7 linked regions of the Sus scrofa genome follow. The protein of the gene in region 6 interacts with the protein of the main gene of each other region in a pairwise test. Links are inferred from orthologs where the notes say so. Each region holds a gene or a part of one and is shown on either strand. Other genes may lie near its edges. The genes, in order: RFLNA, FABP1, ADAMTSL4, KLHL12, HSPB7, FLNA and CASR.

Region 1 (3,500 bases), on a different chromosome or scaffold from region 6:
GTCCCCTTATTGCGATGCCTGGGAACTGGGGGGCAGGCATGGTGGGGCGCCATAGGCATCTGAGTGCTTGGATTCCACAGAAGGATACAGGCATGGGCTTTTTTATTTATTTATTTATTTTTTCTTTTCTTTTTTTTCCTCCGTTTTCTTTTTTGGCCGCTCCATGGCATATGGAGTTTCCCAGGCCGGGGATCAGATCTGAGCTGAAATTGCAACCTACACTGTCAGTGCCAGATCCTTTAACCCACTGTGCTGGACTAGGGATCGAACCTGTGTCCGGGTTCTGCGGAGATGCCACTGATCCTGTTGCACCACAGTGGGAACTGCTGGGGTGGGCTTCTTGATGGTTCCCACAAAGCAGACTAAGCTGGGGCTGGAGGGTGCAGGGTGACCCTTTTGCCCGGCAGAGAGCTGAGGCTGCAGTGGTGAAAGGCTGCTCTTGTGACCCTGTGTCCCTGACTCTCCCCATAGCCCCCTGCCCTCCCCCCAAGTGCCCTGGCTCGAGAGATGAGGCCCCGGATGCTGCCTGTGTTCTTTGGGGAGAGCATCGAAGTGAACCCTGAACCCACACACGAGATCCGGTGAGTGGGGCTGCTTGGCCGGGTGGGGGTGGGGCAGGGGCTGGTCCTGACCCCCTAGAGGGTAGGGGAGGCCAGGCTAGGGGGCTCCCCTCCCTTAGGCAGCCCCTCTGGGCACCGCACCCTGAGGAGGCACAGCCATGATTCGAAGAGACTCTGTTCCCAGGCAGCCTTCCCTGTCCCCTGTCCCCCATCCCCCGTCCCAGGCTCACATTCGGCCATTTATTTGCACACTAACCTTCACCTCCAACCGGGCTGATTTAATTTTATTATTTTACTTTTTTTTTTTTTTTTTTTTGACTGTGCCTGAGGCACCTGGAAGTCCCAGGGCCAGGGATCGAACCCACACCATAGCAGTGGCCTGAGCCACAGCAGTGACAATGCTAAATCCTTAACCTGCAGAGCCATCAGGAAACTCCTGATTTTTATTTCAAATCCAATCACCCAGAGAGTTTGGAAAACAATCAACATAACCCCTCACACACCTAATGCAACTCCCTCTCCCCTCCCGTCCTGCCAGGTTTTTAGGGATCTGTAACCAAACTCTATGGGCAAACCAGGACCCTCTTTCCCACTCAGTGTTTCCCTCAGAGTGTGTGAACACTGCATCCAGGTGACTGTAATTTCGCACCTTTATCTCCCAAGGAGCCCACTTGTGTATTAGGTGCCCTCCCACGTGGAGGCATCTCAGGTGGCACCTGGCCTTCTGTGTTCAGGCGTTTCCCATCCACAGCTTTCCTCCAGCCATCTGCCCTCCTGAGAAGCCTTCTGGGGGTCAGGCTTCCAGAAGATGGAGTCTCGGGTCTTTGGGTCTCACCCGCGTACCCACGGGGCTCTCAGGATGGATTTGTCCATGTCATCCTGGGCAGCCAGGAGGTGACGCGCACTGCCTCCTGCTCCTCTGGCTCTGGATATGGTCCCCGGAAAAAAACAGGTCCACTTTATAGGTTTCTCTTCCCAACAAGCTCTCCTTTTTAGTTTTTATTATCAGAGGTCCCAGCAGGAGTGGCAAGAGCTGCCTGGGCCCTGAGGACCACGGCTTCCCTTCCCAGATGGATCACCTGCAGGGTGCGGTCAGGATGGGACAGGTGAAGTCCCCGCCCCCTCCCTGGAGCTCTTCCTTCCAGTGCAGTTCTCTGGGAGCAGAGCTGGGGGACAAGGCGCGGTAGGTCCCTCGGGAGTGGGTCACTTATCTTGAGGTGCTGAGGCTACTTTGGGAGAAATTTATTTTGATAAAATTTCAAATTTATGGAAAAATCACAGGAAGAGTACAAGGAACAGAGTTCCCGTTGTGGCTCAGCAGGTTACAAACCCGGCTAGTATCCATGAGGACTCGGGTTTGATCCTTGGCCTCGGTCAGTGGGTTAAGGATCCAGCGTTGCCACGAGCTGTGGTGTAGGCTGCAGACATGTCGTGGATACCACATTGCTGTGTCTGTGGCGTAGGCCTGAAGCTGCAGCTTTGATTTGGCCCCCGGCCTGGGAACTTACAAATGCCATGGGTACGACCCTAAAAAACAAAAACAAAAACAACAACAACAAAAAAGAATACAAGGGACCTCCCATAAAATAGATTCATTGGTTCTTCTCGTCTTGCCCTGTTGGCTTGAATATTTGCTCGCGATCTCATTCTCCAGACACGAAACATTTTTTTCTGAACCATTTGGGATGTTGGTGACACGCTGACCTTGAACCCTGAAATACTCCAGCTGGTGTCCTTCCTAAGAACAGGGACATCCTCTCCCATAATGACAGTCCACTTGCCAAAACTGGGACAGCTAAAGTGCAAACACCACCACTGCCCAGTCAGATTCCACCCATGGCCCCCAAATGTCCTTTTAGGGCCTATTTTTATGCCAGTTCAGGATCCAGCCAGGGTCACGAGTGGCACTTAGTCATCATGCCTCTTGAGTCTCCTCCAGGCCGGCTCGGTCCCTCAGCCCTTCTTTGTCCTTTTGACCTTGGCATTTCCGAAGAGCCTGGGCGGTCCATGTTGTTCACGTGGGGGTCCTGGGCTCACCCGCATCCTCCCGCCCTCCTCAGCTGCAACTCGGAGGTCAAGTATGCCTCAGAGAAGCACTTCCGGGACAAGGTCTTCTATGCTCCGGTGCCCACGGTCACCGCCTACAGCGAGACGATCGTGGCAGCGCCCAACTGCACTTGGCGCAGCTACCGCAGCCAGCTGACCCTGGAGCCCCGGCCCCGCGCGCTGCACTTCCGCAGCACCACCATCATCTTCCCCAAGCACGCCAGCAGCTCCTTCCGCACCACCCTGCACCTCAGCCTGGGCCGGCCCCGCCGCTGGTTCACGGCCAGCGTGCAGCTGCAGCTGTGCCAGTGCCCTGGACCCAGCCTCCTGGGCCCTGCCGCGCTCTGATGGGTGGCCAGCCCTGCTGCCGGAGGACGGACTCTGCAATCACGATCGGTGGGCCGGAAGCTGGGGCCGGAGGGAGGTGGGAGGCCTGGCCGACTGCCTGGCCCGCTCCCCCGGCAGCATCCTGTCTGGTCTGCATGGCCAACTAATCAACACAACTATCTTATTAGCACCTACACAGCATGAGGCAGCGGGGGCCTGGCTGCTGGCCCACGAGGAGCACCTGGTGGGTAGGCAGTGGCTGTCCCGATGGGCAGGGAGAGGAGACATGGGCAGGGAGAGAAGGAGACGTGTGTCCTTGGCTGCCCTTGAAGCGGGGGACACCCTGAGTGCTGGCAGGAGGGAGGTGTCCCAGCCTTGGCTGGAGGTGGGTGCTCTTTAGCACCTGGGCCCCCCACCCCGCTGCCCCAGCTCCCAGGCTGCATGTGAGGGCAGAGGGGTGTCATCCAGGCACCACCACATGCTCCTGGAGAGGGCTGTTTCCGGAGCCGGACTTTGAACTGTGTGCAGCTGAACACCCAGAGCCGTGGCTTGGCAGCCTCTGTCGGA
Region 2 (2,031 bases), on a different chromosome or scaffold from region 6:
ATTTTCTTCCACGCCCACAGTAAGGGGCAGGCCATGATGGGTTTTACCACAGGCCTTTTCCAATGGCCCTTTATGGAGGCAAAGCTTTAAACTTGGCCAGTGTCTTCTCCCTGCTGGGTTTCCGTTATCTCTTGCTGGGTGCATGAATAAGAGACCACAATAAGGAAAGATAAAGATGGTGGAATGAATAATTCATACCAACCAAAAATATGTGTCCTCCCAGCTGGCCAGTATTTTGAATTTTGCTACTCCCTCCCTCCATTTGCTTGGAGAATTGCAAGGTTACTAGAGTTTATTCTAATGTTTGCTTTTGAGACCACTTAGCGGTCCTATGTGGATACCTAGATCACATCCCATAAATGAAAAGCCTGACAAAGGAACCACCGCCATTTTCTTTAGTTCTTTATTATTATTATTATTATTTTTTTTTTTTTAGTGCTGTACCCATGTCATATGGAAGTTCCCAGGCTAGGGGTCACATTGGAACTGTAGCTGCTGGCCTACACCACAGCCACACCCACTGAGCGAGGTCAGGAATTGAACTCATATCCTTATGGATACTAGTGGGGTTCGTTCCAGCTGCGCCACAATGGGAACTCCAGATTTTCTTTAGTTCTTAAGGCCCCTCATTTCTATTCAGAGCCAGAGCACAGGGAGGGGCCATGTCACACAAAGCCGAGAGGTTTGGTTGCCATCATCAGAGACCTACACAGGGAAGCCAACCTCACTGGTAAGAGGTTTACCCTCTTGCAGACCCTTCCTCACAGTTCCTTTCTTCTATCCCCTGCAGACAGTGGTTCAGTTGGAAGGTGACAATAAACTGGTGACAACTTTCAAAGGCATCAAGTCTGTGACTGAACTCAACGGTGACATAATCACCAGTGTAAGTTGGTGCCCAGAGCTTGTGACTCCTAGCGCTGGGGGTGGGGGGTGGGGTGAACGTGAGGGAAGCCAATGTCCTTTGATATGCCCATGGCTCCTAAGCCTCCCATCTCTTGCGTGGGAGGCAGGATGGGGGATTTCATTGGCAAGTTGACTTGTCCAAGGTCATCCAGCTAATGAGTTACAGAATCAGGGGTCAAACATAGATCTTTCCTTTCCATTTCATTGCTGTTGAGGTTAAGAGGCTGCTTTTTTACTCTGATGACACTACTCCCTCATCATTGCCACAGTCTTATTCCAGAGGATCAGCAGGAGAGAGGGGCTGGGGGATAAAGGAGCATCCTTCAAAAACTCCAAAACTTTATAAATCAACTAAATTTTTTTTTTAAATAATGGAAAAAACCTCCAAAATCTATGCATCCAATGCATCTAATGTTTCCATAGTCTTCGCAGCTTTGGGAGGCAAATTATGCACTACTTACTGTGTGTTAGCATATGAGGGGCTTAATTTTCCTTTACAATTCAACCTCAGGTGAACGTTTCATGATTTCTTTTCTTTCAGACCATGACACTGGGTGACATTGTCTTCAAGAGAATCAGCAAGAGAATTTAGACAAGTCCGCATTTCATAGTCTTATATCATGTAAAATTAATGCAATAAAGTGAACTTTCTTTTTCAAAAAGATGTCTTTTCTTCATGATGGCTTTTCATTGATGGTGCTATTTATTGAGCACCTATCACCTCTATTTTTGTGAACCTTGTTGATCTGCATGTTCCATCCTGCTGGGTCAGGTCTGAAGGGTGATTCTCGTCTTGAAAGCAGATCCCAGGCTGTCCATTGGGTGACCCTATGAAGAACACATGATGTGGCTGGGTGTGTCTGTAGAGTAGCTGTGGAATGACCTTTGCCGGTCAGGCACATGGCAGGGAGCTGGAGCAAGAGGGTGTGCTGTGTGTTGGGTCACTCCCGGGCAAGAGGGGGCGGGGGGAGTAGGAACACTAGACAGGCAAAGGGGAGCTATGCTCACAGTGACCCCATTCTCCAGGGGACATGAACAAAAAGAACAGGCACTGACCCACCAAATGAACAAGTCTCTTTCCTAGAGGAGAGCTGGTAGGGGAGCTTAGCAGAAGGTGCCAGAAGTGGA
Region 3 (3,500 bases), on a different chromosome or scaffold from region 6:
GAGCCCACTAGGGGTGAGGGGTGGTGTCAGACAGCACCTTCACTCCTGCCTTTGGTTTGCAGGCCCGGGTTGTGTCTGATGCTGCTTCTGTCCCTCCCTCAGCTCTGCCTGGATCAGGAGGTGAGCAGGGGACTAGAGGCTGTGAACCTTCCTCTCCCTGTCCCCCCCCAGCCCTGCAGTCTCCAGACAGACCACGTCTCCATTTTCCAAAGCCTCTGGCAAGCCATGGCCCCTTTCTCTCACGCTTGGCCCTCCCAGCATCCCCAACACCCTAACTCCTTGCCAAATAACCTCAAGTCCTACCTCTGCCACTGAATGTGACCTTGGGCCAGTAACAACTGCCCCAACCTCCAGCTTTGGACTGGATATTCTGTACAGATATTCTGTACCCTCGAAAATCATTCTAATTTCGTTTAAATTTTTGGTCTACACAGGTGTTGTCTGGACACTCACTTCAGACACCCCCTGAGGAGAGCCAGGGCCCCGAGGGTGTCTGGGGTCCTTGGGACCAGTGGGCCTCTTGCTCCCAGCCCTGCGGGGTGGGGGTGCAGCGCAGGAGCCGGAAGTGTCAGCTCCCTGCAGCTCACCTCCACCAGGGCCGGCCCCCAAGACATCCAGAAGGCCTGCTCCCCCGGGGTCAAGGCCCTAGACCTCAGACTTCCCGAGAAACCCTTCCCCTGTACAGGCCACCGCCTCGGGGAAGAGGTGGCCCCTTTCGAGGTCCTGCTTCTCAACTAGGGAGAGAGGAGGCCCGGGAGACTCAAGGAGCCAGGAGGTGAGGGGTGGCGCTTTGAGGGGAGAGGCGGGGCCTTGGGCAAGGGGCGGGGCCTGGGATGAAGGCTAGTGGAGCAAAAGATCCAGGCTGAGAAAGGCTTATCTTTGGTGCTAGGAAGTAGACTGGGGAGGCAGCGTCGGAGATGACCAGCTCTGTGACCCCGTGTCTGCAAACACCTTCTCAGGTCCCGGGTTCGAGACCCCATCAAGCCAGGAATGTTTGGCTATGGGAGAGTGCCTTTTGCTTTGCCGCTCCATCGGAACCGCAGGCACCCGCGGAGACCACTCAGATCTGAGCTCTCGCAGACCTCAGACCTTCCATCCCTGATGCCAAGAGCAGTGCCATCCTCTGCAAACCACACCCCGCAAACTGAACTTCCTCCCACAGCACCGTCTGCCCCTGCCCGGTCCCCCCCAGCGGACTCCCCAAGTCCCGAAGCTGCTCAGACAGAGGTGCCCTCTAGAACCGAGCCTGCCCCCACAGGGCCCCACCCCAGTACCCGGGCCTCAGTCACAGGGCCCTCTTCTCCACCACCCCCAGGAGAAGGGCGCTCCTTTCACGCATCTCCTCAGCCAAGAAGGCCAGGTTCCCAGGGTGGGGCCAGTCCCCAGCTGGCAGAGAGACACCCTCATCCTTTCCTTTCTGTCCCTCCGGGCCGAGGCCAGCAGAGCCCGGAGCGCTGGAGACCTGGGGGGGATCGGCTCAGGTCCCTCACCGAGTCTGCCCCTCACCACCCCCATGGCTGGTTGCCTCTGCTGAGTACCGGCCCTCACTCCAGCTCTCTCTGGAGTCTCTTTGCTCCCAGTAGCCCTGTCCCAAGATGTTCTGGGGAGAGTGAGCAGCTGAGAGCCTGCAGCCAAGCGGTGAGTTCTTTTTGGACCCCTCCCAGACTTCCGTTCTGCTTCCCTGCCCTTGAGTCTGGGTTCTCTGCCTGTCGGAGCTGGACCTGAGGGAGAAGGGCCTTGGCATCCGGCCTCCTCGGGGTAGGGGCCTTGGAGCTCTGCCACAGACCTGACCTTCCTCCCTATCCCCCAAATCCAGCCCTGACCCACACCCCCATTTTCCTCCCCAGCTTTGACTCCTCTGTATCCCCCACCTCAGCCCTGCCCCCCTGAGCAGCCAGATCCCCGGGCCCTGCAGTGTGCAGCCTTTGACTCCCAGGAGTTCATGGGCCAGCTGTACCAGTGGGAGCCCTTCACCGAAGGTGAGGTTTCTAGCCCACCCCCCCGGAGAGGGGGACTTAAGGCTGGGGGAGGAGGCGGGCGAGACACTCAGCCCTTCTTGTTCGCCTCTGTAGGCTCTGTATTTCTCCTGAGCCATGTTCTTTTCCCCAGGGCTGGGGAATAGAGACAGAACGGGCCCAGAAGGGGGCGAGGTTTCAGACAGGGCCCCAGCTGTCGGAGGGGGGACAGATGGTCAGCGGAGGGGTCAGTCTGGGAGAGGGATGTATCCAGAGGTGCCCTTTGGCTGGTGTCCTCTGGGGAGAGGAAGGAGATGGGGTGGACACGCCATGAGCTGGGTGTGGGCAGAGCGATCCTGTCCAGTGGTGACAAGGTGGGTGCGGGCGCCCCATGGATCCTGTACAGGGTTATATCACTTTCTTCCAAGTGGCCATCCATTTGATTTTAAGCCCTGTCACCTTGATATCAAGACAACCCCTCCTGAGCTGTGAACTCACATAATCATGGTTTCAAGCATCTCTGTTCTCAGAGTTCACAACCCTTTTTCTGGTCTCAGTAACCTCAGTTGATCTGAACCAACTTTTAAAATATTTATTTATTTATTTATTGCTTCTCAGGGCTGCAGGTGTGGCCTATGGAGGTTCCCAGGCTAGGGGTCGAATTGGAGCTATAGCTGCCAGCCTACGCCACAGCCACAGCAACCTGGGATCAGCAACCTGGGATCCGAGCCACGTCTGCAACCTATACCACAGCTCATGGCTCCCCTGGATCCCCGACCCACTGAGTGAGGCCAGGGATAGAACCCGCATCCTCATAGATACTAGGGGTTTGTTCCATGGAGCCACAGCGGGAACTCCTGAACCAACTTTTGTGTGACCCTCAAGCTGCCCTTTCAGAGGACAGAATTGTCGCATTTCCTTCATCCACAGTGACCTTGGCAACCTCAGGACGCTCTGTAGCTGATATAAGCCAAGCTGCTCTCAGGGCCCTGGGATCTTTCCTAGTTAACATCCCCTCCTGGGACCCCAGCTAACTACCCTTCTACCCTGTCTCTTAGTTCAGGGTTCCCAGCGCTGTGAACTGAACTGCCGTCCCCGTGGCTTTCGCTTCTATGTCCGTCACACTGAAAAGGTCCAGGACGGAACCCTGTGTCAGCCTGGAGCCTTAGACATCTGCGTGGCTGGCCGCTGTCTGGTGAGGGAGGATGGGGCGTGAGCTTGGGGAGGTGGGCAGTGTTCATTTCCTAATAAGTACTGCAGGCACACACCCAGTCTCCTTGCTCAGTATCACAATGGCGAAATATTCGGCTGAGATTGCAAAGAGGGAAGTTCTTACCTGCCCAGCTGGGCCGAGCAGACCCAAGGGGTGAACTGCAAGACAGACCCCCCCCCCCAGGCCCCTTGAGCTTCTCGGAGGCTGGCTGGGGCTGGTGGGACTGACAAAGAAACACAGTCTCACTTGAGTGCTAAGGTCAAGACACTCACCGAGCTGAAGGCTCCCAAGAGAACTGGGCCAGGTGTGAGGTGGGGGCTGGCTTCCAGCAG
Region 4 (3,500 bases), on a different chromosome or scaffold from region 6:
AACAGGCAACTGAACTGGACACTGGACCTTTAACCCACTGCACCAGGCCAGGGATTGATTCCCAGACTCTGCAGCAGCCGGAACCACAGCAGTTAGATCCATAACCCACTGTGCCACAGCAGGAACTCCCTCATTAGTTTGTTTCTATTTAACCAAGATCGCAGCAGCCATTTATTTTAAAATGTGTAGACTTTGGGATAACACTAGTTGGAACAGGGAGGGCAGATAACTGACCTATTCAGAAGCTGAGATGAACTCTGTTGTATAGTTTTTCTTAAGTGTCTGGTGAGACTGGCCTTTGCTTTCTTCCAGCACATGGCATTTGTTCCCTCTTTCATATACCAGCCAGAGTAGGAGCTAGATGTCTGACTCTCTTGCTGACACTGCCTCTCAGTAGTACTTAAAACAGTGGGAAACAGTAAGTCATATTATTTAAGACAACATGGGCTTTAGAAGAGTTCCCTTGTGGCTCAGCAGGTTAAGGATCTGGCGTTGCCATTGCTGTGGCTCTGGTTACAGCTGTGGTGCAGGTTTGGTCCCTGGCCCCACAGCTTCCATATGCAGTGGGCACAGCCAATAAAATAAACAAAAAATAACGTGGGCTTCAGAATCGCACTGGCGTTTAGGTTTGGCTAGGTGACGATACCTAACCACCCATCCTCAGTTTCTCTTGCATAAAGTGTAGGTAAGAGTTGTACTCACTACGCAGGCTGTTCTGAGCCTTAAATAAGAGTGACAGTGCTTGGTGCATAAAAGAATTCTCTCTGTGAAAATTTATTATGGGGAAATTTCTCTCAACAGTGAAGCATTAACATTGAGGGATTTTCCTCCCGGTTGAGCTCTCTGCAATTCTAGTTTATCCTGTCTTCGGAAAGATCAAGGGAGTTCCCATCGTGGCACAGTGGCTAACGAATCTGACTAGGAACCATGAGGTTGCGGGTTCGGCCCCTGGCCTTGCTCAGTGGGTTAAGGATCCAGCGTTGCCGTGAACTGTGGTGTAGGTTGCAGACACGGCTCAGATCCCGAGTTGCTGTGGCTGTGGTGTAGGCCAGCACCTACAGCTCCAATTAGACCCCTAGCCTGGGAACCCCCATATGCCGCAGGTGCAGCCCTAGAAAAGGCAAAAAGACAAAAAAAAAAAAAAAAAAAAGATCAAGGACCTCTGCTCAGGATTGAAATCCCCCTCCCTTGTTTTTGGCCTCGACTGCAGCATGCAAGAGTTCCCAGACCAGGGATTGAACTCACACCACAGCAGTGACAGTGCCAGATGGTTAACCTGCTGAACCACCAGTGGGTGAACTTCTGGAGGGGGGGAGAGCATTTTAAATTGGTATGTCTAATTTAAACCTAGAATGTGACAGAGTCTAGCATGCAGATGTTTAGAACTGTTAGCGCGTCGTCCTTGTCTTTAACAGATGTTTGTTTAAAACGCCATGGACCCCCTTCTGCACCCTTGCCTGCATTTCATCCACCAGCAGTCTGGGTTAGTTTAACCTCTCAAATTTCTGTCACCACTGCCATAGTGTAAGCATCAGATCCTTTTGCCTAATGGATCAGAGTGGCTTCTAACTGGTCTCCTGGCGCTTGGCCCTTCTAAACCATTCTACCCGTGGTTGTCAGAGTTATCTTTACAAAACACTGCTGTGATCATATTTGAGGCCTGCTTGAAGCCTTTAATGGCTTCCAGCTGCTCTTAGAGTAAAATCCAGTCCTCTGATGCTCTGTTTATTTCTCCAGCGTCATCTTTTTTGTACCATCCTTCCTTCACTGTCGCACTAGCCTCTTATTTCCCAAGCTGTCCAGTAGAATGCTCTGTGAAGACGGAATGGGTCAGTGGCCTCTAGCCACATGTGGCTACTGAGCACTTGAAATGTGGCCAGTGTGAGTGAGAAGCTGAATTTTACTTAGTGTGAATGCGAATAGCCACGCATGTGGCTCACAGCTCCTATATTGGATTGTGCAGTAATAGGGCTTTGCATGTGCTTTCTGTCTGCCATGGAGAACTCTCTTATTCCCTGTGGCTAATCCCTACTCACCCAGCGGATTTAAATCTATCACTTCTGCAGGGAGGCTTTCCCCGACCCATTAAGCTCAATGAAGAAGTCTCACGTTATTCTGTCTCAGAACCCCTGTGCTTTTCCTGTACGTATATCATGACAAAGTGGGGATGTTTGTTTTTCTGATGTAACAATTGTCTCTCTGTTTAAGAGAAAGGTTCATGTCTGATTTGCTCACCATTGTATAATTAGCACCCAGCACAATTCCTGGCACTTAGTAGATGTTTAGTAAATCCATCGAATGAGTGAATATTCTGGAACAGTTCCGTGTTTTCAGTTCTTGAGAAAAGTCCACAGAATGGTTTCTGTGTCTGGGCCCTGAGACCCTCTGAAGGGCAGCTCTCAGAGCAGACACACTCCAGGGCTGGCGGGAGAGACACAGGCCTGTTTTTGAGGTGTGGGCCTCGGGGAGGTCGTAGGTGTTATCCTAAGTGGTGCTCTTCTGGGGGCGTATGGGTGTTTTAGGGTGTGTCTGCCTTACCCATCTGTGGAATGCAGCTTAGACCTAAGTTCCCCAAATGATTAATGACGTATATCATCACAGACAGCACGTGCCTAATCCAGAGTAGCTCAAATACCAGTTGATGGCACTTGGAGGACTGAGCATTGCCTACTGTGTCAGAGGGAAGTTCCTGCTTCACAGGCTTGCCTGAGGAGTTGGGGAGCAAGCCTGAAGGTCCTTAGCCAACACCTGCAAATAAAAGTTATTTTAAGAGCCAGTCTTGGAGTTCCCATTGTGACGCAACAAAAACGAATCCGACTAGGAACCATGAGGTTGCAGGTTCGGTCCCTGGCCTCACTCAGTGGGTTAAGGATCCGGCATTGCTGTGGGCTGTGGTGTAGGACGGTGGCAACAGCTCCAATTAGACCCCTAGCCTGAGAACCTCCATATGCCTTGGGTGCGGTGCTAAAAGGACCAAAAAAAAAAAAAAAAAGCCGGTTTGGGGGCAACAGATTCCCCCTCCTCCTCCTAAAGCTTCAGAAATGACCAGAAAAAACAATATCAAGAATGGGGAAAATTCTGACATAAAAGCTGATTTGTGACTGATTGTCTATTATGTACTATTGCTCTTAGATTTTTTTTTTTACCCAATTTGATTATAACCTTTTTCATGATACTAGCAAGTTGTGTCTGAAAGAATTTGTTTTCCCAAGAGCCTGGCTGTTTCTGGAAGATGGGAAGTGGCGGGGCGGGAAGGAACGAGAAGGTCGGCGGGGTTACTTGTTGAGACTTGAGACGACAGGAAGGGTGGAGGAGGCCCTGATGGTCCTGCACGCTCACAGGTGGATTCTGAAGAGCCGGTCTTCGAGGCCGTCATCAACTGGGTGAAGCACGCCAAGAGGGAGCGGGAGGAGTGCCTGCCGGACCTGCTGCAGTACGTGCGCATGCCCCTGCTGACCCCCAGGTACATCACGGACGTCATAGATGCCGAGGTGAGTCCC
Region 5 (4,230 bases), on a different chromosome or scaffold from region 6:
CAGCCCAGTGGGGGAGAGGAGAGGGCGGTGGGGGCAGGGCCGGGGAGGGGAGGGCCCTCAGATTTTGATCTCCGTCCGGAAGGTCTGCTGGACGTGCTCCGTGTGTGGTTGGCGCCGGGCCCGGATGGTGAGGCTGCCGTCCTCCCGCAGGGCCGAGGTCACCGATGTGGGGTCCACATCCTCTGGCAGTTGGCACTTGTGAGCAAAGGTGTTCATGACGGTGCCGTCAGCTGCCAGCTGGGGAAGGGGTGATGGGTCAGGGCAGGCTGGCCCCCACCCTTGTACTGCTCACGACAGGCCGCAGCCCCGGCTGCGCCGTCTAACCCCAGCTGGGCTCCCATGTGCTGAGAGGTTCTGCTCTTAGGTGCAGAGGCCCTGCCTAGGGGCTGGCCAGGGTAGGATGGGCGCAAAGATGCTCAGCGGCGCTCCAGTGGTCCCAGGGGAAAGGCAAGGGGTTGGTGGGGGAGCTCCGAAGGAGAGGAGGCTTGGTGGCAGAATCTGGGGCTCCTGTGTGACAGGAGAAGGCACAGAGCAGAGCCGAGCCCTCCTGGATACCCAGACACATTGGTGTCCACCTCCGGGGCTGGGCTGGCAGCCCCTCCCCCACGACCCAGCCAGCACATGGTGTCCAGAAGAGCCTGGGGCGGCTGAGTCACTGGTGGGGGTGGCAGGGCTGCCACATGCTGCCCACTGGTCCTGGTGCCCATAGTCCCTGGCTTCCCCGATGGAGGTGCAGGGCATCCTCCCATGCTGGAGAAAGAAGCTGGGCTGTCCGGTGGGGTAGCTTTGGGCCTACCCTCTTCTCTAAGGAGCAGCTGTGGCTCTAACCCGCTGGGGGCAGCCCCCCTCCTCAGCCAGGGCCACACCCTCCTCGAGGGTGCAAGTCTCCTGGGAGTTAGGACGTAGAGGCCCTAGTGACACAGTGACCCTGAGATCCATGGGCAGAAGAATTGTGGGGTTTGGAGTGTGTGTGACCTTGAACTGCAGGGCTGCTGCCTAGCCTTGAGCTCCATTCTGGGGTCCAAGAGGGAAGACGGCTTGAGGGCTGTCCCATGGGGGAGCTCCTTCCCCCTAGCCGCCCAGGTGAGCCCCCCACCTGACCACACACCTGAGGGAAGAGCTCTCCTCTCACCCCCCCTTCTCATCTCTCACCTCCTCTTACGTCCCCCTCTCTCTCTCTTTTTTTTTTTTTTTTTTTTGAGCCACAGCAACGTGGGATCTGAGCTGCATCTTAGACCTACACCACAGCTCACGGCAACGCCAGATCGTTAACCCACTGAGCAAGGGCAGGGATCGAACCCGCAACCTCATGGTTCCTAGTTGGACTCGTTAACCACTGCGCCACGACGGGAACTCCACCTCCCCTTCTCATCTTTCACTGCCCCTTCTCATCTCTCCTGCCTCTTCTCACCTCTCACCTCCTCATCTCTCACCTCCCTTTCTCACCTCCTCTCACCTCCCCTTCTTACCTCTCACCTCCTCTCACCTCCCCTCTCCTCCCAGCCTCAGGTGCCCCACCCTCTGCCTCCTCCCGCCGCCCCCCATCCCCTGTGGCTTCTTCTGCTGCCCTGGGCTCCTGAAGAAAGGATCTGGGAATGCAACAGTGTAAATCAGCTACACTTCAAAAATAAAATAAAATTTAAAGGAGGATCTGGAAGCCTCCAGGCAGAGAGCGGCAGTAAAGGGGGCCCCGTGGCTACAGGAGCAAGGCCCCCAGTTTGTCCTGAAGTTTTAGGGGGCACTGGTTAGGGTGCAAGGTCCCAGGATGGGACATGAGAGTGGGGATGCTGGACAGAAGGTACCTGTGCGGAGCCCCCAGTCTTAGGGGAGGGGGCGGGCTCACCTTCTCAGCTCGCACCTCAATGTGGTTGTTGGAGGTGGTGACAATGATGTCTTCAGGTGAGAAGTCACTCACGTCCACTGCAAACTCGTAGGCATCGCCCAGGGTCTTGATGTTGCCAGGCCCCCCGGTGCGGGCTGTGGGGAGGGCTGCTGTGAGCTGAGCACAGGGCAGGCTGGCACCCAGGAGGAAGGTTTCTGGCTCCTTCTCCTTGGGGAAGGGGCGGCCCCCCAGGCCTGACCTCCCTCTCAACTGTGGCTCCTCAGCTGCCCTGGCCGTCCCTCCTCATTTCTCGAAAGCCACCTCTCCCAAGGTGGGGAAGGGCCTTACTCGGCACCGGTATATGACACTGTCCATAGCCACTCGTCCCAGGCCTGGACTGGGGATGCACCTTGCCCGCCCCCCCAACACATGCAGCTCTCCGGGGCTCCAGAGAGGGCCTGGCCACAGGGCCTTTGGCCCTTGGCACCTTAGCTGACCCCCAGGCCAGAGCGCTTCCTGGGAGGCCTGCCTGGGGCCACATCTGTCCTGGTGGCCCTGCAGCTGTGCAGCACCTGTTCCTAGCAGCTCAGCAGCCGCAGCTGCATGGGGTGGTGGCCTGGAGCAGGTGTCCCCTCCCCCGTGTGCCTCCCCTCCCCCACAGCGCCCCCAAGCACTTGCCTGGAAAGGCCAGGGGCTCTGAGTGGGGCCGCATGAAGCTGCCAAAATCCTCGGAAAACATGCTCAAGGCCTTCTCCATGGGTGGGTCCTGGGCCGGGAGGGTGTGGGAGGCCGAGGAGGACGAGGAGGAGGAGGAAGAAGAGGAGGAATGGAAGCTTCTCTCCGCTCTGAAGGTGGAGGAAGTCCTGTGGCTCATCCACGGGCAGGCGGCCGGGCCCGGGCTGGGCGCAGGGGCGGACAGGAGAGGGTGCGGACAGCCAGCTCTGGGGGAGCATGCGGGGCCCTGGCCGGCGGTGCTTTATAAGGCCCGACCGTCCCTGGGCGCAGGGCCAGCCCCTTGTCTACCAGCTAAATTTAGTCCTCTCCATGGCCCAGAGGAGCTGGAAATCTTCTCCAGTGAGACGGCCCTGCTGACAGTTCGGCCCAGGCTGCCTGTGAGGCTGAGCTCACAGTCCAGCATTCCAGGCTGATAACTCCGCATGGGGGGCCTCCCAGGGCAACGAGGTGGGGGCCCATGCTGTTCCCTTGCCACTCAGACCCCTGCCCCCCTGCCCCGGGACCTTGTGTGTGCAGGCTTTCTGTCTCTGTCTCCCCCATCAGACGGCAAGCTCCTTGAAGACATGGTTTTCTCTCTTTCCTGTCCTGTCTCCCCCAGAGTTCTAGCCCTTGGTGAGAGGGATCTGGGTGGCAGGTGATCAGGACAGAGGGGCCCAAGCCTCTGACTCTGGGGAGGACAGGAAATGCAAGTCAAGAGGTCAGAGGGGCGTAGAGGACCCCCACCTGCTGGACCCCTGTGGGAGGTGAGGGGTTCATCCTGCAGGACAGGCGATGTTCACAGCCATCTCTTAGGAAGGACGGAGACAGCCCTGAGTTGGGGGAGGGGGTGGAGAAGGTGCCACTGTTGCCCTGGCAGCCCCTCCGGGGACCCAGATTTCATAATTGTCCCCCCTCCCCCTCCCCCCGACTCTGGAAACATTAACGGACCCAAGACGAGAAAGCTCAGGCAGGGCTGGTGGTTGGGCTGGACCCAGGGGAGGAGAGCAGAGAGTTCTGTAAAGGTTGGTAGCAACCTAAAAACTTACATTCCTAGGAATGGTCCGCTTGACCTCCAGCTCAGGGGAGATGTGGGGGGTGGCAGGGGGCAGGGCTTCAGCAGAGAGAGGGGAAGGAGGCCCCCACAAGACAGTGGTTCCAGCTGTGACTCCTGAGGTGCCTGCTGGGCCCAGGCTCCAGGTGGGCCTCATCTGATCCTCTCCCTTCTTGGGAAGGGGATGTTCTTTCTTCCCATTTTACAGACAGGGAAATGGAGCCTCACAGAGAGCCTGGGGCTTGCACGTGGGTAAGGGGCAGAGCTGGGATTTGAACACAAACGTGTTTGATCCAAACTCTCCAGGAGGCCAGGGTGACCTGAATATTCATGTAGGGAGCCTGGCTGGCCTGGAACACCCTGAGAAGCCCCTCCTGTGCCCACCCACGGACCAGTGGAGCCAGGATTGACATCATGCAGGACCAAAGGGGTGAAGCGGGGGAGGGCTATTCTGGGAGGTTCCTGGGGCCTCTGCTCTTCTCTCCAAATCCTGCCCTTCCTCCCCAGATCAGCTCTGGTTCCTCTTCCCCCAGGGAGGCCTCTCGGATGGCTTCAGCCCACACAGGGGGTCCTGCCCAGATGTCTGACGTACTGGCAATGTTTGCCCAGCCTGGCACCTGAGTGTGGCGTGGTTTTCCTGTGT
Region 6 (4,121 bases):
GGACCACTTGGCCTCCAGCGGGCAAACCAAACAAGGGACTTTCCTTCCCCAAGGCCCCTGCGGGGGGTGGGGTGGCGCGCCCTCCCTGAGTCACGTGGGCTCCCCTCGGTCCCCCGCAGCCCCTCGCAGCCCCCTCCTCCCCCGAGCTCCGGCGCGTGGGGTTCTCTGGCCGCGCCCCAGCCCGCCGCCCAGGCAGCGGCAGCCGCAGCGGCGGGAAGGAGCCCGATCTTAAAGGCGAGCCTTCGGAGAGCGCGGGGCCGGGCCGGGCGCTGCTGCCAGCGCTTTGCGCGCGTGCGCCACGCCCGGGACACCCCGCAGCCGCCCCGCAGACCCCTTGCCCCAGCCCGCCTTCCCGCTCTGCGCGGCCCTGGCCTGCGCACCTGCGCCTGCCGGTCCCCACCGCCTCCCTCCCTCCCCGCTCCACCCGGGAGGAAATGGGGCACTGGGCCAGGAGGCCACCGGCACTCCAGGAGCCTGCGGCCTTGGAAGGGGCCCGGGCGTGCCAGTGGGCACTGGCAGAGGGCGCCGTGCGATGCGTGCACGCGTGCGGAGACGACGAGTGCCCGCCTGACCCGCCGGCCGCCCACCCGGGGCAGTCGGGGTTGCCTGTCCTGTCGGGATGGCGCCCTTCTGGACCCCGAGGGACCTGCTCAGGGGTTCCGAGAAGCCTTGGCAGGCTCTGAGCACCTGGGCTTCGTGGCCGTGTTAGTGCCGAGGGGGCCCCCAGGACAGGGGAGCCAGGGGACTGCAGGGGGCAAAGCACGGAAGGCTGCCAAGCCCTGCCCAGGAGCCAGGACTGTGTCTCCAGGCAATGGGGAGCTCTTTGCTCCAAATCAGTTTTCTGTAGATGCCTGGAGACTGTGGGAGGTTGCTGTGGGGAGACATAGATCGGCAAAAGCCCAGGGTCAAGAGGCCTGTCGGGGACATCCCTGCCACCCTCTTCAGTCAAGAGAAGCCAGCTTACTCATGGCTTCGTCTCCAGAGCAGACGTACTTCCTCCCCTCTGCAGGATGTTCCCTTCTTTACATCTTTTTTTCCGGAAAGGCATTTGTCTGTCCCTCCGGCTTGATTCTTAGATTGAGCCGCAGACTGGTAATAACTAAGTTATCTGCTAAAGACCAGTGGGAGAGGAGGCCCTGGGTCAGTCGGCGTGTCATGCCCAAATATGGTTGACTCTCGCACAGCCCTGGGCGTCTGCATCCAGCGGGGTGCAGTCCCAGCTGGCGTCCCCCCTGCCCTTCAGCCTGCTCGCTCAGGGGGCTGACTGTCACTGCGCTGGTTTTTCCTCACCAATGGTGGCGGTACGGGAGCCGGACGGCATTTTTCAGTCTGGGGCTTGCCTCTCTGACCACTTTTGGACACAACCTGCACAAAAGTCCACACCACGGTGTCTGGGAACTGAGATGGAAGTGGGAGGGAGGGCTCTAAGGGGACCTGTCCCTACCAGGCCCCATTCGAGAGGAGATGACATTTGTCCTGATCCTCCTGCCCTCCTGGAAAGCAAGTTCCCGAGGACAGAACTACATCAGGAATTGATTTTCACTCCATAAGTGCCATCCAATGGGGTCCTCCCCGTTAATTCCTTTGTCTTCAGAAAGCAGGGAAACTGAGTCAGAGGAACTGACCAGTAGCCAGCTCCAGCGGAAAGGGGGACGGGACCTGGGTACCCTGGCTTTTCCAGCACTAGGCTGTCCCTATTTGAGGGAGTTGGGTAGGGGGTACAGGGTTCTTGTTCCTAGGGGACAGAGTATCACCACCAGATGGCGCCCCATCCCAAAGCCCCCAGATCGGGCAGTCCTTGGAAACCAAAATCCAGCTCTTTCATATTTTCCCTTATTTGGAGTAGATTCTTGGATGTTAGACACACCCCGCCTCCCACCCCACTCCTGGCCCTCCGACCCCAGGCCAAAGCCTCCCACAGGGGCACTTGGGCTAGTGAAGAAAGCCAAGCAGTGGCAGCATCTGGGCTGCTCAGGCCCGTCCAGGTGTGGCAGGTGAGGGCCACACCTTGAACACACGCAGGAGGCTCTGCCAGCGGACTTCACCTACTCCTTCTGGACCCCGTGGCATGGGAATCTGGGGACGTTGCTGCTCCCATCCTGGCCGGTGGTGAACATTCAGCTCAGAGCCAACCTGGGACAGGGCCCGGCCTGGGAACCTGGCCGTTCGGAGGAGCCCCTGCTTCCCGTGCGGGCCACACCCCTGCCCGTCTGGAGGGGCACAGCAGCCCAGGAGCCATCCCCCCTGTCCCCAAGGCAGTTGGTGCCCCACAGACCAGTGTCAGCGAGGAACCCACTGTCGCCCTCCCAAGGGCCGCGCCGACTGCGACGTGGCCTTCCAGGTGGCCACTGACCCTCAGCCCACACAGTGTCCTGCCCTCGGGGCTCTTCCTTCCCAGACAGTCCCGCCGCGGCCAGCTCATGGGTACCCACGGGGGCCCATCGCCTGCCAAAGGCTCAGCCACCCTCTCTCGGGGACACCCGTGCCCTTGGGCTCCCACACCCCTGCGTAGACGCAGTCACCGCGCGGACTAGGGGAGGCAGCACCTGGCCCTGGCCCGGGTGTGCGCCGGCGCCCGCGTCCTTGGAGCTCTCCGCCCGCCTGCGCCACCCCTGCCCTCGCTCCGCGAGCAGCTCGGCGACCGTCGCGTTCGGTGCCCGCCGCCGGGGCCTCACCTGCTGTCCCTGCGGGCGGGCGGCGACCGCGGGGTGGCGCCTGGCCGGTCTTAGAGCCCGCGCTGGGCGCCCGGGGCTCCACTGGCGTCCGCTGCGCGCCGTGCGCGCCTCCACGCGAAGGGGCCGCCGCCGCCCGCCTTCTTGTTGGCCGCACCCCCGCCCGCGCCCGGCCCGGCCCGGCCCGGCCCGGCGAGAAAGCCTTAATTGGTAAAATCGCCCAGGAGCGGGGAGGGGGGCGCGGGGGCGCGCCATGAGCTCAAGCGCCCGGGCCGCTGGCGACGCCCCCCCACCCCCGATGAGCTCAGCGTCCCGCGAGGGGGGGCTCACCTCGAGAGCCCAAGGGGTCCTCAGGGCCCACGTCTCAGCCCAGCAGCCAAGGCCACCTCCTCCAGGGAGCCACCCACCGTCACGGCCCCCTGCCTTTGCCCCAAGCCTGGGCTGGTGGGGTGGGGCCAGGCCATCGCAGGTGTTCCCCTGCCACCCGAAAATCCAATCCGCAGTGGGGCAGGGACCCGAGCCCCACAGCGAGCAAGCGTTTCGGCTGCCACTGATTTGGCCCCTACTGGGTGCCAGGCCTGGCCTGGAACTGAATTCTCGGGAGCAGGGTTAGGTACAGCCCTGCGACCGGGTGGGCACAGCCACGCCCTGGCACTGCCAGCTCCCTCTTCCTCTTCTCCGTACCCATTTCCTGGTAGCTTCATATTCAGCTCAAATGTCTCTTCCTCGGGGAGGGTCACATAAAGCAGTGTCTTAACAAATTTTGCCCACAACCCCCAATAAGAACTACATTTTGTGTCCTGAGCCAGGACTTGCCCGCGCACCCCCAGAGTGACACATAACTGAAAGCAATGTCTCACAAAGCGAGACTCTCCCTACCACCAGAAAAGCACTGAAATTTTCTATTCTATTCTACCTCATTAACAGAAAGAAAAGAAGGAACGGAAGAAGGGAAGCAAAAACGGAGACGGAGGAAAGAAGAGGGAGGGAGGAAGGAGTCTGGTTCCACCTGCTAAAGGACTTGGGTGATCCACTGCTCAAAGCTAGCAGGAAGGCGCGGATTGCCTTCCAGGCCTCCCGGCATCCACTGCTGCCTTTCCCGGCTCTGCCGGCGATGACCTTTCCACCTTGACCCAAGCTGGGATCTCGAGCAGTGGTCTCTGTCTCTCCCCCCTCCGCCTAGTGGGACCGCCCTGTCCCCCCACCCCCGCCAGCTCGAGGCAGCGGGTTATCCTCATTTGATAGATGAGGAGCCTGAGTTTAGGTCCATGAAGTGGCTGTGTTGGAGTTCACGGCCAAGGCTGTCCCTTCAAAGAGGGAAACCCACCTGCTGTGGGCATTGCAATCAGAACCAGGGGTACAGTAAGTCGGTAGCAGGAAGGAAGTGGTGGCCGGATGGTTGGAGCTCAGAATCCCCATCTCTGTTTTAATCCTCTTTACACCCCCCCC
Region 7 (4,230 bases), on a different chromosome or scaffold from region 6:
CTGCTGTTTATTTCCTCTATGGCAAATATCATAGCTTGTAACCAGCGAAATCCACGGAAATTATACCTGGAAGAGAGAAGAAATGGGAGAAAGCAAGAGGCTTTCTGGTCAACTGCTTTAGAGTACAGACTGGGCAGAGCTGGGTTTGTACGTGGCTCTGTTACTCTGGTTTCATGACATTGTTTTTTTGAGACTTCAAGTCCTCTGTGTGAAATGGGGATAATGCTTACCTCAGGGGGTGGGCGAGAACATGAGATCATTATGCAGAAGTCTCAGTATGGTGCCTGACACACAGTCAGGGATCAATAATAACGAGGATTGTGGTTAGTAATAGAATGAGTAATTTGTATCTGCCTCGTCTAGCAAAGAATTTGAAGTAGCTGATATGAGGTACTTTAATAATAAAGTAATAGAGTTTTAAAAAGCAAAAAGGACTAGGGAAAATATAAATGGACTAGGATTTTACTATGTAGGAACCTAAGAATAACTTGAGATTTGCAGTCACCAATTTAAACCATGACATTCCTGGAGTTCGAAGGGGAAAGGGAAACAAACAAGCAAACAAACAAACATTCACGAAGGCTGTTCACACGCAGTCGTTACTCCTGGGTGGTAGGATGATGAGTTTTTAGACTGTGTGTTTCGATCTTGTTTATACTTTAAAAAAAAGAGCATGCACTGCTTTTCAAAGAACACAATTTTAAATAAAAATCAAGCTGATTAACAAAGAGAAATAGGGTCAGTGACATAGTTTTTACTCTTCCAGGACATAACATGTAGTGAGAGTTTGATTAATGTTCTGAATCAGTGTATCAGCGCCCAGAGAAGATACCTAACCACTCTGCAAATTCTCTCTTTGCATCCTGGGTTTCAGGACTTTCACTCAATGACAGGAGGAGAGAAATACAAGCTGTTATACTTCACTGTATCAGTTAGGTTCCTAAAGGCGCCATTTTCTCTTTGTCATTTTCTTCATGTTTCCTTTATTTATTTATTTGTTTTAAACCCGCAAAGTGGAGTTCCCACTGTGGCACAGCGGAAACGAATCCAACTAGGAACCATGAGGTTGCGTGTTCCATCCCTGGTCTCGCTCAGTGGGTTAAGGATCCGGCGTTGCTCTGAGCTGTGGTGTAGGTCACAGATGCAGCTTGGATCTGGCCTGCCTCTGGCATAGGCCCGGCCTCTACAGCTCTGATTAGACCCCTAGCCTGGGAACTTCCATATGCTGTAGATGCGGCCCTAAAAAATAGACAAAAATAAAAATAAAAATAATCCCACAAAGTCTTGAAGACAAATGACAGAATTTTTCGTTACATAAAACATCTATAAAGCTAAACTGATTTCCCTATCTTTCTTTAACATTACCAAGATAAATATATTATTTCACAGCAAGGCCTTGCTTGATCTCCAGGTATGTACGTGGCACTTGCACAACTCTGTGCAGCAGGGTATCACAAAGAGGGTATATGTCCACCTTGGTTATGTGGAGGCTATACACAGCATCAATGAAATTCTACCCTTAGCTTTTGTACATTCATAAAAAAAATGTGAAAATGTTATCTGATTTGTGAGCCCTCGTTAGAACCTGAGCAGAAATCTAGTTTTGTTGGAATGATCCTACTTTTCGTTTTCTTTTTCTAGCTATCAGGAGAAGTACTGGCTCCCTTCTGGAAGTTGCAAATCTCAAGAGAAAGTGCTCTTTTCGCTCAGAAAATGGGTCAGGACTTGGGGTGCAGTATTGGTCTCTGATGTTGAGATTGAGGGAGGCGATATATAGCCCCCTGTATTCTATGGAAGTCAGCTACTATTTGAAAGAATCGTGCCTAGTTTTAGATGCCACATTCTAAAAGAGTTGTAATAAATTGGGGAACATCGGATTGAGGGCAACCAGAATGGTGAGGCTCTGGAAATCATGTCATGAAATCATTTTTCAGAAAACAGACTATTTGGCCTGGAAAAGTAATAATTCGAGGGGACATGTTAGTTGTTTTCAAATGGCTGAAGAGAGTCCGGTGAGAGAGTTGGCTGGACTCTGTGTTTCTCCATCTCTGTTAGATGGATTCTGTGTTCGCAAGGGGATTTCTGCCTTCTATGAGATTTTCTAATGGGAGTGGTTCCAAAATGTCATGGGCTGTGTTTTGAAGATGCCCGGGTCATGCCAACCACTGAGGTTTCTTTCAACTTTAAAATCCTTAAAAAAAAAAAAAAAAAAAAAAGTGAGGCAGCCAGCACTCAGGTATTAATGACTGTTGGAGCACTTAAGGTCAATAGGAAATTTTATTACTCAGGTTTATAAAACCCACAACAAATATCCTTCTAGGTACTTAGTCTTCCATTAAGCAACACTGCCTCCCAGTGAACAATGATGACTCAGTTACCAAGGGACCGAGCAATAGACTACAGATTTTTCTACTCAGTGTCTTTGATGTTTTGGTTTTGGAAAAGTTTCTTTTAGAAAATTGAGGGGGAGAGGAAAAATAAGCTTCAGCAGGATTACCAATCAGCATTTTTTGAACAGAGAGAATGAGTTTTGCAAAAATTATTTGGGGTTTGGTACAGCTTTTCTCCAACCACCTAGAAGAGAAGAGAGTCTCTGCGGTGGTTCCTGCCCTTACCTGATACATTCCACAGACTCCGGCCTTGACTCTAGGTTCTGATCTTTGGCTGCTACTCCAAAATGAATAGGAAAGAGTCCCCCGAGGATAATGTCCCCTTTCTTCTGGGCTCGCTGGTCGGGCCCATATGCAGACGTACACCAAGTCAAAGCCAAGAGGATCCAACAGCAGCTGGAAAATGCCATAGTTCTGCTTTCCCTCCAGGGGGAGGACCAAGAGTGCAGGTGGTCTGGGGGCCCTGAGAACTTCCCCCGTTGCTGTGGCTCACTCCCTGTGGTGGGGGCACATGTCTGCAGAGCAATTAATAGCAGGACGGAACCGTGGTGTGTGAATTTCTATTTCTGCCTTCTTCATTGCAGGCTAGTAAGGTAGGTCGTTCTTGAGTCTTCAGAAGCCACATCATGTAGAGATTTCTTTAAAAAAAAAGACGAAAATGAATTCAACTAAGCCTGAATCCAATGTCTTTACGATGACTGCTACAGAAGTGGCTCAGAATTTCTAATTAGAGAGGCTAAGGGGTAGCAGGTGGGGAGGGCATCGCTTAGAGTCTCATTTTTTTTTTTTTTGCTTTTTAGGGCTGCACCTGTGGCATATGAAGATTTCCAGGCTAGGGGTTGAATCAGAGCTACAGCCGCCAGCCTACGCCACAGCCACAGAAACTTGGGATCCGAGCTGCGTCTGCAAACTACCCCACAGCTCACGGCAACGCCGGATCCTTAACCCACTGAGTGAGGCCAGGGATCAAACCTGAGTCTTTTTGGATGCTAGTCAGGTTCGGTAACCACTGGGCCACAATGGGAACTCCTCAGAAAACTTCTTAGTGGAACACCAGCTGAAGGAAGAACCCAAAGTCCTCATGGATCCTAGCGAGGTTCATTAACCACTGAGCAGCCACCATGAAGGGAATTCTTGAGTCTCATTTTCATAGTATAAGGCATAGAACTGGCTTAGTGGTAGCAGTTCCTTGTGTTATAATACTATTAATGCTATTTTATTTAGTGCATATATTTTTATGGAAAGTAGAAAATCAGTCACATTTAAATTTAAATTCTGACTTCAAACAAAAAATGTCAGAAAAGCTACTTATCCACTTACTTTTATTTATTATTGCAGTCCCCCCTTTTGGGGGCCTCCTCATTTCCAGATCTCTGGTTCCAGTTTGTAAAGGATACTCCATAAACCTCTGAGGAAGAGTTCTTATAAAGAATGCAGATGAGTTCCCGTCGTGGCTCAGTGGTTAATGAATCCGACTAGGAACCATGAGGTTGCGGGTTCGATCCCTGGCCTTGCTCAGTGGGTTAAGGATCCACCATTGCCCTGAGCTGTGGTGTAGGTCGCAGACACGGCTTGGATCCCGCGTTGCTATGGCTGTGGTGTAGGCCGGTGGCTACAGCTCCGATTCGACCCCTAGCCTGGGAACCTCCATATACCTCGGGAGCGGCCCAAGAAGTGGCAAAAAGACAAAGAATGCAGATAAATCAAGTGTCAGCTTATGTTCTCCCAGGCTCTCCAGCTGGATCTAGGGAATAGTCCTTCTCCTTTAGCAAGCTTATCCTACTAGGAACTCTCTGCTCTTCTCCCTTGATACTCTCTCACCCGCTCAGTGGGTCGATTG

The links.
Region 1: the proteins of FLNA (region 6) and RFLNA interact in a two-hybrid assay, tested with the Homo sapiens proteins (2 studies listed by BioGRID). The two-hybrid records come from large-scale screens. The link is inferred for Sus scrofa from reciprocal best matches to the Homo sapiens genes FLNA and RFLNA.
Region 2: the proteins of FLNA (region 6) and FABP1 interact in binary tests that used the Homo sapiens proteins (3 or more experiments, as listed by UniProt). The two-hybrid records come from large-scale screens. The link is inferred for Sus scrofa from reciprocal best matches to the Homo sapiens genes FLNA and FABP1.
Region 3: the proteins of FLNA (region 6) and ADAMTSL4 interact in binary tests that used the Homo sapiens proteins (3 or more experiments, as listed by UniProt). The link is inferred for Sus scrofa from reciprocal best matches to the Homo sapiens genes FLNA and ADAMTSL4.
Region 4: the proteins of FLNA (region 6) and KLHL12 interact in binary tests that used the Homo sapiens proteins (3 or more experiments, as listed by UniProt). The two-hybrid records come from large-scale screens. The link is inferred for Sus scrofa from reciprocal best matches to the Homo sapiens genes FLNA and KLHL12.
Region 5: the proteins of FLNA (region 6) and HSPB7 interact in binary tests that used the Homo sapiens proteins (3 or more experiments, as listed by UniProt). The two-hybrid records come from large-scale screens. The link is inferred for Sus scrofa from reciprocal best matches to the Homo sapiens genes FLNA and HSPB7.
Region 7: the proteins of FLNA (region 6) and CASR interact in a two-hybrid assay, tested with the Homo sapiens proteins (2 studies listed by BioGRID). The link is inferred for Sus scrofa from reciprocal best matches to the Homo sapiens genes FLNA and CASR.

The regions. Positions count from the first base shown.
Region 1 is NC_010456.5:28,824,282-28,827,781, reverse strand, and holds part of RFLNA (refilin-A), read left to right. Parts: intron 1-471; coding exon 472-581; intron 582-2,620; coding exon 2,621-2,954; 3' UTR 2,955-3,500. UniProt on the Homo sapiens protein: Involved in the regulation of the perinuclear actin network and nuclear shape through interaction with filamins. Plays an essential role in actin cytoskeleton formation in developing cartilaginous cells.
Region 2 is NC_010445.4:57,853,400-57,855,430, forward strand, and holds the end of FABP1 (fatty acid-binding protein, liver), read left to right. Parts: exon of another isoform or gene 1-790; coding exon 791-883; intron 884-1,444; coding exon 1,445-1,495; 3' UTR 1,496-1,531; downstream 1,532-2,031.
Region 3 is NC_010446.5:98,582,756-98,586,255, reverse strand, and holds part of ADAMTSL4 (ADAMTS-like protein 4), read left to right. Parts: intron 1-62; coding exon 63-120; intron 121-434; coding exon 435-775; intron 776-959; coding exon 960-1,638; intron 1,639-1,876; coding exon 1,877-1,979; intron 1,980-3,013; coding exon 3,014-3,150; intron 3,151-3,500. UniProt on the Homo sapiens protein: Positive regulation of apoptosis. May facilitate FBN1 microfibril biogenesis.
Region 4 is NC_010452.4:24,885,982-24,889,481, reverse strand, and holds part of KLHL12 (kelch-like protein 12), read left to right. Parts: intron 1-3,341; coding exon 3,342-3,491; intron 3,492-3,500. UniProt on the Homo sapiens protein: Substrate-specific adapter of a BCR (BTB-CUL3-RBX1) E3 ubiquitin ligase complex that acts as a negative regulator of Wnt signaling pathway and ER-Golgi transport.
Region 5 is NC_010448.4:75,172,119-75,176,348, forward strand, and holds the start of HSPB7 (heat shock protein beta-7), read right to left. Parts: upstream 2,801-4,230; 5' UTR 2,697-2,800; coding exon 2,501-2,696; intron 1,978-2,500; coding exon 1,844-1,977; intron 238-1,843; coding exon 58-237; 3' UTR 1-57.
Region 6 is NC_010461.5:124,888,831-124,892,951, reverse strand, and holds the start of FLNA (filamin-A), read right to left. Parts: upstream 2,801-4,121; 5' UTR 2,676-2,800; intron 1,112-2,675; exon of another isoform or gene 965-1,111; intron 30-964; exon of another isoform or gene 1-29. UniProt on the Homo sapiens protein: Promotes orthogonal branching of actin filaments and links actin filaments to membrane glycoproteins. Anchors various transmembrane proteins to the actin cytoskeleton and serves as a scaffold for a wide range of cytoplasmic signaling proteins.
Region 7 is NC_010455.5:138,305,842-138,310,071, forward strand, and holds the start of CASR (extracellular calcium-sensing receptor precursor), read right to left. Parts: upstream 2,801-4,230; coding exon 2,616-2,800; intron 67-2,615; coding exon 1-66. UniProt on the Homo sapiens protein: G-protein-coupled receptor that senses changes in the extracellular concentration of calcium ions and plays a key role in maintaining calcium homeostasis.